Rhinolophus ferrumequinum: one gene and its partner. The protein of the gene in region 2 interacts with the protein of the main gene of each other region in a biochemical or structural test. Links are inferred from orthologs where the notes say so. Each region holds a gene or a part of one and is shown on either strand. Other genes may lie near its edges.

The links.
Region 1: the proteins of RPS6KA1 (region 2) and ARHGEF11 interact in a test that uses a peptide from one of them, tested with the Homo sapiens proteins (2 studies listed by BioGRID and IntAct). The link is inferred for Rhinolophus ferrumequinum from reciprocal best matches to the Homo sapiens genes RPS6KA1 and ARHGEF11.

What each region holds. Positions count from the first base shown.
Region 1 is NC_046305.1:1,327,181-1,334,196, reverse strand, and holds the start of ARHGEF11 (rho guanine nucleotide exchange factor 11), read left to right. Parts: upstream 1-4,013; 5' UTR 4,014-5,237; coding exon 5,238-5,269; intron 5,270-7,016. UniProt on the Homo sapiens protein: May play a role in the regulation of RhoA GTPase by guanine nucleotide-binding alpha-12 (GNA12) and alpha-13 (GNA13). Acts as guanine nucleotide exchange factor (GEF) for RhoA GTPase and may act as GTPase-activating protein (GAP) for GNA12 and GNA13.
Region 2 is NC_046292.1:18,178,768-18,185,839, reverse strand, and holds the start of RPS6KA1 (ribosomal protein S6 kinase alpha-1), read right to left. Parts: upstream 3,001-7,072; 5' UTR 2,934-3,000; coding exon 2,799-2,933; intron 1,954-2,798; coding exon 1,837-1,953; intron 1,572-1,836; coding exon 1,490-1,571; intron 1-1,489. UniProt on the Homo sapiens protein: Serine/threonine-protein kinase that acts downstream of ERK (MAPK1/ERK2 and MAPK3/ERK1) signaling and mediates mitogenic and stress-induced activation of the transcription factors CREB1, ETV1/ER81 and NR4A1/NUR77, regulates translation through RPS6 and EIF4B phosphorylation, and mediates cellular proliferation, survival, and differentiation by modulating mTOR signaling and repressing pro-apoptotic function of BAD and DAPK1.

The sequences.
Region 1 (7,016 bases), on a different chromosome or scaffold from region 2:
TAACTCCGAAGGCTGCCGGTTCGATTCCCACATGGGCCAGTGGGCTCTCAACCACAAGGTTGCCAGTTCAATTCCTCGAGTTGCGCAAGGGATGGTGGGCTCCGCCCCCTGCAACTAAGATTGAACAAGGCACCTTGAGCTGAGCTGCCGCTGAGCTCCCGGATGGCTCAGTTGGTTGGAGTGCGTCCTCTCAACCACAAGGTTGCCGGTTCAACGCCCGCAAGGGATGGCGGGCTGCGCCCCCTGCAACTAGAAAACGGCAACTGGACCTGGAGCTGAGCTGCGCCCTCCACAACTAAGATTGAAAGGACAACAACTTGACTTGGAAAAACAGGCCTGGAAGTACACACTGTTCCCCCAATAAAGTCCTGTTCCCCTTCCCCAATAAAACCTTTAAAAAAACAAAACAAAAAAAGATTAATATATCACAGCCAGGTGGTGTTTATCCCAGAAATTCAAGACTGGTTAATTGAAAATCCACAGTATCAACAGACTAAAGAAGAAAAACCATGTGATCATCTCAATCAATCCAGAAAAAGAATTTGGAAAAATACAAACATCTAACAATAAAAAACAACCACCCACAATATGATAGAAGACCATCTATGAGAAAACTATGAATAATATAATATTTAATGGTGGAAAAACAAATGCTTTCCTCCTAAGATCGGAAACAAGACAGGGATGTTTGCTCTTACCTGTTCTATAAACATTACCCTGCAGGTTCTAGCTAGCACACTAAGACAAGAAAAAGAAATACATATGGGAAAGGAAGGAGTAAAATTGTCTTTATTCTCAGACATGATCATCTATATAAAAAGTCTGATGAAATCTACAAAATAAGTGGGTTTAGCAAAATTGCAGGATACAGGATCAACATACGAAAATAACCGTATTTCTGTCTTAGCAGTAAGCAATTAGAAATTGAAATTTTAAAAATACCCTTCAGCAATGAGTTGATATACTCTATACCTGACAACATAGATGAATCTGAGTAAAAGTCATACAAAAAAGAATACACAATCTATTATTTCATTTATATAAAATTCTAAAAAATGCAAACTATAGTAACAAGAAGCAGATCAGCTATCACCCAAGGACTACAACGGGGGGAGGGAATCCAGTGGGAGGAAAGAATTAGAACGGAGCAAAAGTAAGTTTTGAGGTAATAAATATATTCATTATCTTGATTGTGGTGATTGTTTCATGTGTGTATAAGGTCAAAATTTATCAAGTTGTATATTTTAAGTATGTGTAATTTATTGTATGTCAATTTTCTTATTTTAAAGGACATTTTTCACTTTTCTTTCAATTTTTAAAGCAGGCTTTGGGCAAGTTTTTTTTTGTCTGTTTTTTTGTTTTTAATCTTCCCTTTGGCATCTCACCTTTTTTGTATCTCACATTTGATCCTGGGAACTTTTACTTATTCAAGGGGGAAAAAAATAACACACACATCCAACTTCCCAAAATATTAGCCTTCAATCTAAAACTGGTTTTCTTTCACACATTTTCCTTTACAATTTATCTTGGCACCTTCCCTGTTATTCAGTTTGTCTCAGCTACAGGGGTGTTGATGGGAGAAAGTTGGTTTCTAGGGTAACCAAAGACAGGAAGGTATCAGCTTGGGAGGCTGGAGTGCATACCTGGGAGGTGATGGAGATGAAGCAAACCACCCCTCAGTGGGAGTGAAGGTGAGAAGCCCCTCTTCCACTAAATGCCTTGAGATCCTCAAGAGTGATGAGGGGGCAAATTTCTGGGGGTGATATTTCCAGGGATACTGAGAAAGAAGACGAAGAACCGAGAGCACTAGGTAAGACTTGCAGGTCACTGCAAGGTGGGAGAAAGAACTCTCTGGAGGGCTGAGGAGTAAACCACCGACTTCTACTTCCAGCCCCACCCTCCCGTTTCTCCTCAGTAAGCCCTGCCTGTCTGCTATCTTCCCCCTAATGCTTGGCATAGGGCCTGTAACACAGACGCAGTACGGTTGACAGTTAAGTAGACTCTGGACCCAGACTGCGTGGGTTCCCAGCTCTGTGACCCTAAGCAACTTATTTTACCTCTCTGGGCCTGTTTCCCATCTGAAAATGGGGATGATGATTACTTACTCAAAAGGTTGTGGAGACGATCTAAGTCAATACTTGCATTTTGTTTACTATTAGTTTGGTGCAAAAGTAATTGCAGTTTAAAAGGTTAAAAATAATTGCAAACACCGCAATTACTTTTGCACCAATCTAATAGTTGAACTTCAATTAAAAGCCTTAACACGGTGATGAATGGGATTGGAAAGTACCATAATTTAATAAATGCAATCAAGGACACACTTCTTCCTTTAGATCTACCTCTGACAAGTATCTTTTCGTTATGACAGCCATTAACTTCCACTAAACAGTATGATTTTTCACACGTACTTCATCTTTCTTTCCATCTTTTAATATTTCTACTCTTGGGCATGTTTTATAAGGTATGTAATAAAATACATGTAAATAACTGTTTAAAAAAACATTACATAGGTTAAGAAAGCATGACAAAAAAGGCGACTAGTAGTGGGCCTATGGCCACAGGAAGTGTCACATTTGGGAGCACGATTGTGCAGGTGGTATGGGAAGGGAATTAACAAGGTCGGGGGCAGTTGGGACTTCCTGTGTCTTTGGGAGTCCCGGCCACGGTGCGGTGGAGATGCAAGGAAGGCAGCGGGGCTTTCTTCTCAGGGCTAACCAGCACCTGGGATAGTTTAGGGGACGTTCCTGATCATTCTAAGTCCCGTCCGCCCCCACCCCCGCCCCGCCCCACGTGATGCTCCTTAGTCCCCTTGCCTCCTGCTGTCTGCAAACCCACTTCCAACACTGCAGGGGCCACTCGGCTCCCTCCTGCTGGCGTGTGCGTGTGGGTAAATACACACGATCTCACACTTCACCCATCCAAGGACAACAAGGTGGTGTGGACCGAGGACCGGCAGCCGCGCCACTGCCCGCAGGGCATTTTCCAGAAGCACCTCCCAGTCCTAGCGGCAGTTTCCTTTCTATATTATTTTTAACCAGAACGCTGGGGACCTTCTGACTAATGTCATGTTACTTGGAAAGATTTGGACACCGCGAGCCTACGAGAGGGGGTTATGAAAGCAGAACTGTCCTTGAAAGGCCTTTGCCATGGAGTCCCAACACTCACAGCCCGGGGGTTAAGATGCCGGAACCAACAGCGACGGGTGTCTCCGCGGTGTCGGTGGGTTAGAACTGGGGGGCCCAGAGATGGGGGGCGGGCGGTCAACAGGGTTCCTGACACCCGGGAAGGAGGCCGCGACAGATTTCTGAAAAATCGATGAGCAAAGAGGTGGAGGCAGCGTGAGCAGCGGCGTGGGTCGGCGCGGTGGCGCTGGTGCACGCACGGGGGACACCTGGCCCCGGGGGAGGGGGTGGCACCCGTCCGGTGGGGGGTGCACACAGGTCAGGTCTCGAGCGAGCGCAGGGCGGTTAAAGGGGAACAGCGGGCGGGGGCGGGGGCGGGGCCGGCGGGCCGCGCCGGGAAAAGCCGTGGATCCCGCTCAGCACCGGGCCGGCTAGGCCGCGCCGACGCGGGGTTGCGAGGCCGGGAGGGCGGTCCGCCCGCCGCCGGCCTGAGGGAGACGCCGCCCGCCGCTCCGTCCCCGCGGCCTGAGGAGAGGCCGCCCCGCCGCCCGGCCTGAGGGAAGGGCCGCCCCGCCGCTCCGTCCCCGCGGCCTGAGGGAGAAGCCGTCCCCACCGCCCGGCCGCCCCGCCTGAGAGAAAGGCCGTCCCCGCCGCCCCGTCGTCCCCGCCGCTGCGGCGCGAGGAGGAGGAGCCTGCGGCCCCGCCCCCGCGAGCGAGGGACGGAGACGGCTCGCGGGACGGCGGAGGGCGCGGAGGGGCGGCCGGCCGGGCCTGCGCCCGAGCGAGCGGCGAGCGAGGGGTGAGGGGCCCGGAAGGAGCCGCACGCCCGCCTTCCCGGCCTGCGCCCGAGCCCGGAGCCCCGCGGCCGCCCAGGCCGGAGCGCGGCGGTCGCGCCGAGGCGAGCGGGGCTGGAGCCGAGGTCGGCGGCGCCCCGCGCGGGTAGGCAGGGCGGACTGCGGCGGGGAGCCCGGCGGTCGGACTTGCCCGGAGGCGGGTGTGGAGGAGAATCCCAGCCGAACCGAACCCGCAGGACTCAGCCGGCTTGTGGATAAGGAGCGGCCGCCAGGCCGGGCGACCGGGCGACGGTGCGGCACGCGAGCCGGGAACCCGTTTCATGGGGGCGGAGGCGAGGCCGGCCCCGGAGCCTGGATGAGGACGAGCGGAGCAGAACCCACTCAGGAAACGGCCTCCCGAAGCAGGCCGAACCCGGGCTGGGCCTGAGCCCCGGGCGGGAAGGCGCAGAAACCGGCGCGCTTCCAGGAAAGGGAAGGGGACGAGGTTTCCAGAGGGTCTCTGCTTTGTGGTGATTGCTACCATTTTAAAGGTAGAAAGCTTTCATTTCAGGTGTTCTCTGATTTTTTTTTTGATTTTTTTTTTTTTTGGGTGCGATCGGCTCATTTCAGAATCTCAAAACCTTTCATGTAAAAGCTTTTTTGTTTTTTAAAGGAAATTCATAATTTTGGTTCCCAGGGTCGCACTGGACTTGGAAGGAATGCTGTTGTGTACATACTATTGTATGGTTTAATTTATTTTTTTTTACCGTGCAAATCAGCTGGAAGATTTTTTTTTTCAGGTGCCAATTCGGATTTATTCATCCTTTTTTTGTTGTTGTTCCCTCATATATATCTGTTGTCGTTTTAAGCATTGGAGACCAGAGAATTTCCCCCTTTGGAGCTTAAGGCTCTCTTGCCAACAGAAGGACAGCTGGGAAAACTGGATTAAAAGGATGGTTTTTATCTGTATTTTGCAGTAAGACTGATATTTTGAAGGCATATTCTTTCTGTGATTCATTTTTTTCAGCCCATAGCGCTAACCTTGAAGAGATTTGTGGTTGGGTTTTGGTTTCTAAGGTCATCGTTTTTCCTCTTTTTCTTTCGTTTTTCTTTTTCTTTTTAAGAGGGGGGAGGGGAAAGGGGGTCTAAGAAAGGAGACCATGTTAACTGGTAGAAGTAGAATGGAGCTTCAGTTACCAGGATCCTGAGAGCTGGAGGACAGAGGATTCAGTCTTCGAGTTGGGAAGCCCTCCTCTCACCTTTCTTAAAAATTGCGAGGATTCAATCCTGATCAAGACGTCAAAACTACAGGACTCTGGAACCGTGGAGACACCGAGAAACCATGAGTGTAAGGTTACCGCAGAGTATAGACAGGTAGGTTTGCTAATAATGGGTTTTTCAATACTTACTTAAGGACGCACTGGGAGGGAGAGTGTTTGTTGCATTTTGATCAAAGGTTGCAAAAGGAGGGTCTGGGTGGGCAGTGGGAGTTGGGGAGGTAGGAGCAGGCACTGGTCTGCGGGGACTGTCCGGCATGTGTGTTTATCTTCCCTGTGTGTGTCCATGTTCAAAACGTCTTCTGAGTCAGTGGTTTTTTTCTTCAATTGAAGCAATAGACAGTGAAGCGAGGAGGGGGGAAGTGCCTGCAGCCGGCTTTGACTTTTGCCAGGCTGGAGGCTAAATTTGAGTCCCTAACTTGCCAGCCTAGCGGGTGGGAGGTGGGCACAAGTCTGAGTCTGCAAGGGTGGGTTGGGATTGGCTGTAGGTGTTGGAGCTGCTGGGGGAAGGGCCCTGGCAGGGGCGTGGGCCTCCACCGGGCTGGTTGTTGTGGAATGGTGGGGTTTGGTGGTGGAGTGGATCCAGTGTCTGAAATGAGGACGATGGTCGTGGCCTGAATGATGGCACAGAAACACCCTTTGCACCCCTACAGGGCTGGATTTTTACCGGTGGCTAATAATAGCCCCAAAATGCACAGGTCACTTTAGAATTGTTTCCTCTCCAAGGTTAAATTTTAACTTGAGACCTGCCAACCGGCTAATGCTGTAGGTTTAATCTTCCAAGGCGTTTCTAATAAGCTTGACTCTGCAAAATGGACTTTCCCTCTGCCTTGAGCCGGAAGGAGTTGTTTGGGGCTCTTCGGCCTGATGGGCAGATGCACTGGCCCTTAGAGCCCCCCACCCCCCCAGAGTCTCTCCAGCCTTGTCACTGGTAACACAATGGTTCACAGCTTTGGTAAGGTATCTGCTTTTCCCTCCCTCCCCTCCTTGTCCGCCCACTTTCTCCGTAAGAATCGGGAGGGGGTCATTGGTGGGTACTGCACGCACATTCTGACTGGACAGGACTGAACAAGCAAATGAAAGGACTGGACCTGGAAATATAGTATTGGCGAGATAAGAAAGACTGTTTGCAAAGAAATAGTTGCTTTCTTTGTGTCCACCTAACCTTTGCTAATCCATGCTAAGAATAATTTCTTTTTGGCTCTGGAATGTGGCCTAAGGTGCATATAATTTCTCTCTCCCAAACAGTGACCTCTGTATGGCCTCCGAGCCCTACTTAGATGGGTCCAGCAGTCCCCACACAGGAACCTGACTTAGCAGTGGAGAGGGGAAGGCAAACAGCCACAGAGAACAGAAAGTGCGCGTGGCTGGTTCAAACCTCCATCCTTCCACTTCTTGTTGGCTTCTCTGTAGTTGGACTCTTGTAAAGGGAGAGCTGAGGCATGGCACGGCCCGGGCTGAAGACGGCTACATGGCTGCCCTCCCTGTCTTCCTCTTGGAGTTGGGGAATTAGTGCACTTGCCTTTTGGAGATTTGGATGGTGGACTATTTCTCTGAATTCAGGGATGTGAGAAGATAGAAACCTGGGTGTTTGGGGGTGCAAACGGGGCAGTGAGGGTTCCTTCGCTGATGGGACATGTTCCTCTGGGAGTTTGGATAGCCCCACTGTTCTCAGGATTTGTATAGCATGGTACGTTTCTCTAAGTGCTTTCATAGGAACATATCACATTCGAGCCTCGCAGTATTTCCATGAGGCAGACAAAGCAGAGGCTATTCTTCCCATTTTACAGAACGGGTATTGAGGCTCAGAGAGGACACCTGGCTTGTCTGGTGTCAGACTTGCA
Region 2 (7,072 bases):
CTCCATCTGCCATAAAACTCTCCAATTCCAGTCTGGGGGCTGGTGAGAACAGTCACTTGGAGAGCTAGTTAGAAAGGCAGATTCCCTGGGTCTCAAATTCAGATTCATGGGTCTGAGTAGGCACCCCCCACCCCACCACACACACACATGTTTTTAGAGAATAAAAGTCCTCAGGCAATTTGATATCAGCAGGTTCTTCTTTGACTCAGTTTAGGCCTCACCTCCTCCAGGAAGTCTTCCTTAACCTGCCATGCTGAGTCAGGATGCTCTTTCTTACAGGGCTGTGCTTTCCCCTTCGGAGCACCTTTTACATGCTAGTTTAACGTTTCTGTTTCCCTCACCAGACATGGCAGGGACCACACTGTAGTTAACTATTCTAGTCACTGTTTCCCAACTAAACCTTACATGTTCAAACTGCCCTTACACTTTTGCTAAGGGAAACAATTCCTCCATCCTGGGGTACCCTTCCTCTACCATCTTCAATCTGGAGAACTCCCAACTCATCCTTCAAGACACAGCTCAAATGGTTACTCCTTATGTGAGCCGACCCCACTGGGAGGCTGCACCCACCTTCCCTGGGCTCCCCAGTCGCAGCGCCAATTGCAACACCCTGCAAGGTCTGCCTTGCCTCTCCAGCCCCACGGGAGCCCTTCAAAGCAGGGACCAAGTCTTTTCATCTTTCTCTTTCCCCATGGCTCCCACTGTCCCTGCTGAGGAATGACTCCTACCCCTACCAGGCTGGCATTGGGGCACCAAAGCTACATCACCCCACAGATGCCCCTTCATGGGCCACATGACTCCTAATGTCCCCAAGGCCAACACTTCCAATTCTCCCCACCTCACCCCAGCCTGGTCAGTGGCCAGTCTGGTTCCCAGGCTGCTCAGAGTCACTGCCCAGCACAAAGGCTACTCCCAATCACCCTCATGCCCTTTGGAAGTCCTGGAATTCCAGGCCTGGACTCGGGCTCCCTCCGAACCTCTCTGCCATCCATCTCCATGGACCCGCCTTGACTACCTCTCCTACCCACGCAACCGCCTCCCTGGGCTCCCTGCCTCTTTGCTCACACCCTTCTCCACTCTGAGGTCTCCCTCAGACTCTTGTAACATTGTGAAGCAACTCTGCTGAGAGGGGCCTCTGCCCAACCAGCCTGAAACCTGATGTCTGAAGGCCTCCAACACAAACATACTGCACCCCTGCTCCCACCTCCTTCCAGACTACATACTGGCACTTGGCTTGGCGGTGGGGGTGGGCGCGGGGTGCAGTTAACCCTGGAGATCTTTTCTTCTGACTGGACCCTGTCTTCATCATAAGGAGGGGTGGTGGGTAGTAAGGGACAGCTGAGAACAGGCCAGTGTCTCCACCTTCAGACCAGGCACTCCTGGAGACTGAGCTCTCTCCTGCATCAGACTTAAGGCCCTGGACAGCTGGGCCATCTCACTTGGTCCTGTGCTGCCCTGGGCTCTGCCTGAGGAGGTGTCCTCCACTCACCTTTCAGCGTTGCCTTCTTTAGTACCTTCATGGCGTACAGGTGCCCACTGTCGGGCCGGGTAACTTTCCGCACCAGGAAGACCTGAGAAGGCAGCACGGGAAAAGCAGAGGAGAAGCTGCGGAGAGGACTGAGCCCATCAGCTCCCACCCTCCAGGTCCCAAGCTGCCCTCCAACTTCCCTGAGTCCCACCTTGACCTTTTGCCCTCCCTGGGTACCAAGGTGACCTCCTGTCCTGCCTTGAGCCCCATCAACCCTTGCCCTCTGGTACTTTGAGCCCCACAGTGAACTCTCACCCCACCTCTGGTATGACCACTGTTTCCCTCCCAACTGTGGGATCAGGACTTACTTTGCCAAAGGATCCCTGGCCCAGAACCTTGAGCAGCTCGAAATGGGATGGGTCAGCCTTCTCAGAGCCAGCCTTCACATGGTGCGTGATGGAGATCTCCTTGAGGACACCCTCATCCTGATGGAGGAACACAGCAGGTGGGCACGTGGGCCCCATCCAGGCCAGCATGGGGAATGTCCCCCATCCAAGTCCACTCACACCAGATCTCAGTAGACGGGGCCCTGCAGGCCCAACCAGACAGCTGCCCCGACAGGGCCAGCCTCCAGGTTCATCAATACCAAAGGGCCTCACAGGCCAGAGGGGGTCAAACTACTAAGGTGTCTCTGCTCCTATTGTTCCTGATGCTCCGGCCTGGTCACACCCAAAGGGATGCCCAGGCATGGCCAGGCTGGCCAAGCTGAGCCAACTGCAGGCTCTGGCTGAGGCCCACAGACCAGCCCCAGGTCCTCCCCTCCCCCTGCTGTCAAGTTTTGGTTTTGCCACAATAGGAAGTAGGGTTTATTCTCACACTGGGGAGGCAAAGCTGGGTTTTTGTTCCTGGACAGGATGGATGACGGGATCCTTTTGGCCAGAAGGACAGAGCTGAGATGCTTAGGGACCCAAGAGGCACCTGAGACTACCCCCAACCCAGTAAGTGCCAGTCTGGGGCAGGTAGGAGCTAAGGCCAGACTCCATGCCCCACCCTCTGAAAGTTCCTTCATACAAGTCTACTAAAAACCGCTCTTCAGGTCCCAGTTGTCCTAGGACCCCTCGCCCTCTGCCCTCCCTCCGGTCTACCGGTGTCACTCCCTGGACCCCTGAGTGCCTCCTCACTCCCCCAGGGAGCAGGTCTGGGTAGGGTCCAGTCGTCCAGCAGGGCCAGGCCTGGGCTAGGAGAGCCCAAAGACAGCTGAGGCCACACTGGCTGCCCAGGCACCTGCTCCAAGGGCCACAGGCAGGCCAGCTCATCCGGGCACACTCACCGAGTCCCGCCTGGGGCCAGAGCCAGGGCCAGGGGCAGGCAGAGCAGTCTGGCTGATCCTGGGCCGCTGCTTCCTGGGCAGCCAGGGGAGCAGGGCCCAGAGCCGCAGACGGGGCGGCTTGGGATCCTGCTCCATCCGCCCGGCAGGGCCAAGGCACCATGGCAGGAGCAGGCAGCGTCCGGGGCTGCCTCGGAGGTGGCCGGCCCGAGGCGGATGTGCAGAGTGAGGGCGGGGGCTGGGCCCGGGCCACCAATCACGCAGGGCCTGTGGTTTCCTCGCTCCAAGCCTACACCCTCACCACGTTCCTTTCCTCTCTCTTCCCCTGTCCCCATTGCCTGAAGGCTGCCCTCTGCATCCCCTGTGGGCCTGCAAAGGGAAAGCCCCATACCAACCCAGCTGCTGAGGAGCAGATAGGCACCCCACAGGCAGAGACCGGCTCCCAACAGATAAAGACAGATGAAGGTGGGCATCCAACAGGCAGAGGAAGGAGTGTACACATGCCCAACAGGCAGAGGTAGAAAGAACACATATCCAACAGGCGGAGACAGATGGGGACAGGTACCCACAAGCAGAGGCAGGAGGGGACTCATACCTGACAGGCAGAGGTGGACAGAGACTCATACCCAACCTGCTGAGGCAAACGGGAACACATATCCAACAGGCAAAGACAGATGGGGACATGTACCCGACAGTCAGAGACAGATGGGGACCCAACAGGCAGAGGCAGATGGGGGCTTGCATCCAACAGGTGGAGACAGATGGGGACACATACTCAATAGGCAGAGACATAAGGGGACACGAACCAACAGACACCTAACACGTGACATGTACCCAACAGGTGAAGACAGGCACTCATCAAGTACAGACAGACACAGGAGCCCAACAGAAGCCAGAGGCAGGTGGGCAGCAAACAGAGACTGCCAGTCAGTGAGGCCCAAGCAGACAGACACATAGGCAGGAAAGACACCTGGACACCCAAAAAGTCGGACCCCGAACTCAAAGGCAGAGCTGGTCTACCTGGGGGTGAGGAAAGAGGTGAGGGGATGTCGCCTGCAAACCCTCAGCACTTGGGAGAACAGTCCAGTATTTGTGGCAGACCCATCTCTGAGGTCTTCCATTTCTTTGGAATGTTCTTCCCATGCCAGGTCCTGAAGGGGGGCCCTGGACTACGAAAGTAGGCCAAGCGGGATATCTGAGTGCAATCTGATGGCTCTGACTCTCATCCAAATATCCCAAAAGCAGTTGTGCCCATTTCGGGAACAGGAAATTGAGGTCCAGAGCACAGTGACTCACCCAGGCTCAAAGTGCACTGGAGGCAGAGCCAGCTTGAACCCAAGTCCTTCCCCTGGCTATTGCTTGACCTGCGATTGGGAGGCCTCAAGTGCCAGGAAAGGGTGGGTAGGTAAGTCAGCCGGAGCCATGTCCAGCCCTTCCAGCCCGCCCCCTCCCTCGGTACTAGGGTCAGTCCGGGGACTTCTCATTCTAGATATCGACCCTCACAGACACAGACACATCCTCAGGGGACCCTGAACAGCCACAAAAAGCTGCAGCCACTAAAAGCTGCACGCTAATCAGGCTCCTGAGTGTAACCCCAGGGGGGACAGGCAGAAAGCCTGGCTCAGAGAGGGGCTGCGGTGGGCCAAGGCCACACAGCAACCCCCGTCCCCAAACCCTGCGGTCTGAGCCTCCACCTGTCTGTCTCTGGCTGAGAATACTCCCTGGAGACAGAGCCAGTCACCCGGAAACCCCAGGGGAAAGAGTCACCCCCAAACCTATTCCTTGCCCAGAGTCATGATGACAGACACCAGTGGAGGCAGGGAACCCTCTGCTCACCTTTCTGGGACAGGGGAGTGGATCTCTCCCCACCCAGGGGAGATCTGCCGGGCTCTGCATGGTGGGGCTCAAGCCAGTGGCCAGAGGGCCCCGTTAGTCCCTCACTTCTGCTTTTTCAGCCTTCCTGGCCCAGAAGGCAGGGTCCCTGACCCCCTCCTTCTCACTTCCCCCTCTGCAGAGAGGAGGGACAGAAGATGGGACAGGCTTCCCTGCTGAGGAGGGGACACGGTAGACCCCAAGGCCATGACTGCAGGGGGTGGGGCCAGGGATACACCCCTCCTCGTATCCTCTGATCCCGAGAAAGGGGAGACTAGAACACAGAGTCACGAGGTGATGAGGGGCTCACATAGTGGGCATCCAGCAGCTGCAAACATCCCCTTAAGAGAATGAGGGCAGAAGTCAGCAAGCCCATGGGCTCTGACTGCCCCGGCCCAGAGCACAGACTCTCCTTCCCCCCGCAGTGACCTCCCCATGGCTGGGCCCACCCAAAATGGCAGCCCACAGAACAGGCACCACCATAGCAGCCCTGCCCTGAAGAACCTGCCAGTCCAGCGCCCTGGGATGGGCAGAAAGCCCTAGCAAGGACCTACAGAGGTCTCAGTGGAGGAGCAGGTAGCCTGGGTCAGGGGTTGACCAGGCCCAGCCCCCTTCTACGTGGCCTCGCCGCGTCACTCACACCAGTACACCCACCGGAACTGATACGCACACAAATACACACAAGCCGATGATCGGAAACGATTTCCACAGACATCCCCTGTGTGGAAACACACGCCCCCACGTACACACGGACTTCCCCTTCCAGGCCTCGCAGGGCCTCTAGTAACAGTGTGATGCTGGTCTGCCAGGCTTGTGAAAGATGCCTGCTTAGACGGAGGCTTCTCATTGCACCCCCGCTGCTTCAGGCAGGGGTGTGGAGATGGGGACAGCCCTGGGAGCCCCAAAACTCTCTGGTCCTGTGCCACCGGGTCCCCCTCACCCTTGAGACCCTGAGAATCAAAGGAAGACTCTGTGGCTAACAGAGTACAGGAAGGAAACAGTCTCCGAACTGCCTTCACTGAAGGGTACGTGCAGGGCCTGGGGGGGCCTCTGGGTGGCAGGAGGGGAGGACAGGCACCAGACCACATCCCCTGGTCCCTGCCCCATTCCTCCCTAAAGATACTTCCTCTTATGTACTTCCTTCCACAAGGCAGCTGCAAGAGAAGCCCAGCGCCCCCTGACCTGATCCTGGGTCCCGAGGGCCCCCCTGGGCCTCCTTCCACTCGCTGCAGTGCAAGCCCACGTGCCAATCCCTGGCCCTAACGGACACCAACAGCTTCTTCCCCAGCTGACAGCATCTGCAGGGCCTATCAGGTGCTGCCCACTCTGGTGAGACAGATGTCCCCAGACGTATCTCCCAGCATGCCTCTGGGCCGGGCAAGAGGGGTCCACAGTTCCCAGACATCCTTGATGGGGAGCTGGCCTCAGGCCCTAGGTCAGGACTGGCATGGAGTGACACTGAGAATTGTACCTCCTACAGATTGAGCATTTATTGCACAAAGATGTTCTTTCCTTCAACCTTTGCTGATGTGGATTCTGGCAGGCCCTGTTTCTTAGCTCCAAGGGAGGTATTGTCATCCCATTTCAGAGATGAGGAAACTAGGCTCAGAGAGAAAGTGACTTGCCCAAGTCCACATGGCTAGAAAGCGGGAGAGCTAAGACCAAAATCAAAGTCTGTTTGCTTCCAAAGCCTACACTTCTAACCATTTCATTATTGCCCTCCCTGCAAGGCTGGCCAGCTGGCCTCCCCTTTGGACATCACTCGTAGCTACTGTTCCCGCGCTCTGTCCCCAGGCCAGGAGCCAGACACTGGGAGGCGCCCGTGTTAAGGCTAACGCCGGTGTTGACCTCAGGTAGATCCAGAAAATAAATACAGGAAAACAAAACACAATTGTCCAGGGAGAGCTGCCGTCAGGTGCTGTGGGTGCCCAGGGGCAGTAACCATCTGCCTGGGGTGAGGTCCAAGAACCTTCCAGAGAGGTGGCAGTACAACTGGAACTTAAAGAGGATAGGAGTTGGCCAGGCAGAAAGGCGAGAAAAGGCACTTCATGCAGAGACCAGCATGAACAAGAGGCTGAGGCCAGGAGTGCAGGGTGGGAAGTTAAGCACTGGCCACTCACTAGCTGAGTGTTTCCAGGCAAACTCTTTCTCTGTCTGAGCCTCACTTTCTTCCTCTTTAAAACAGAGGTTAAAATGAGATGTTCCACTCTCAACAAGGTTGTTTCTAGAAGCAAAATGGGCCACAGAGGCAAAGGGGCATTGTAAACAGAACATCCCCCCGGATGAGATGGCAGGTCTTACTGCTGTAGTGTCACCTCTGGGTAGGCAGAAGGATAGAGCCCTGCCACAGGGTCCCAGGTTCTGGGAGGGTGGGCGAGCCCGCGCTGGCCAGTCCAAGGGAAGTT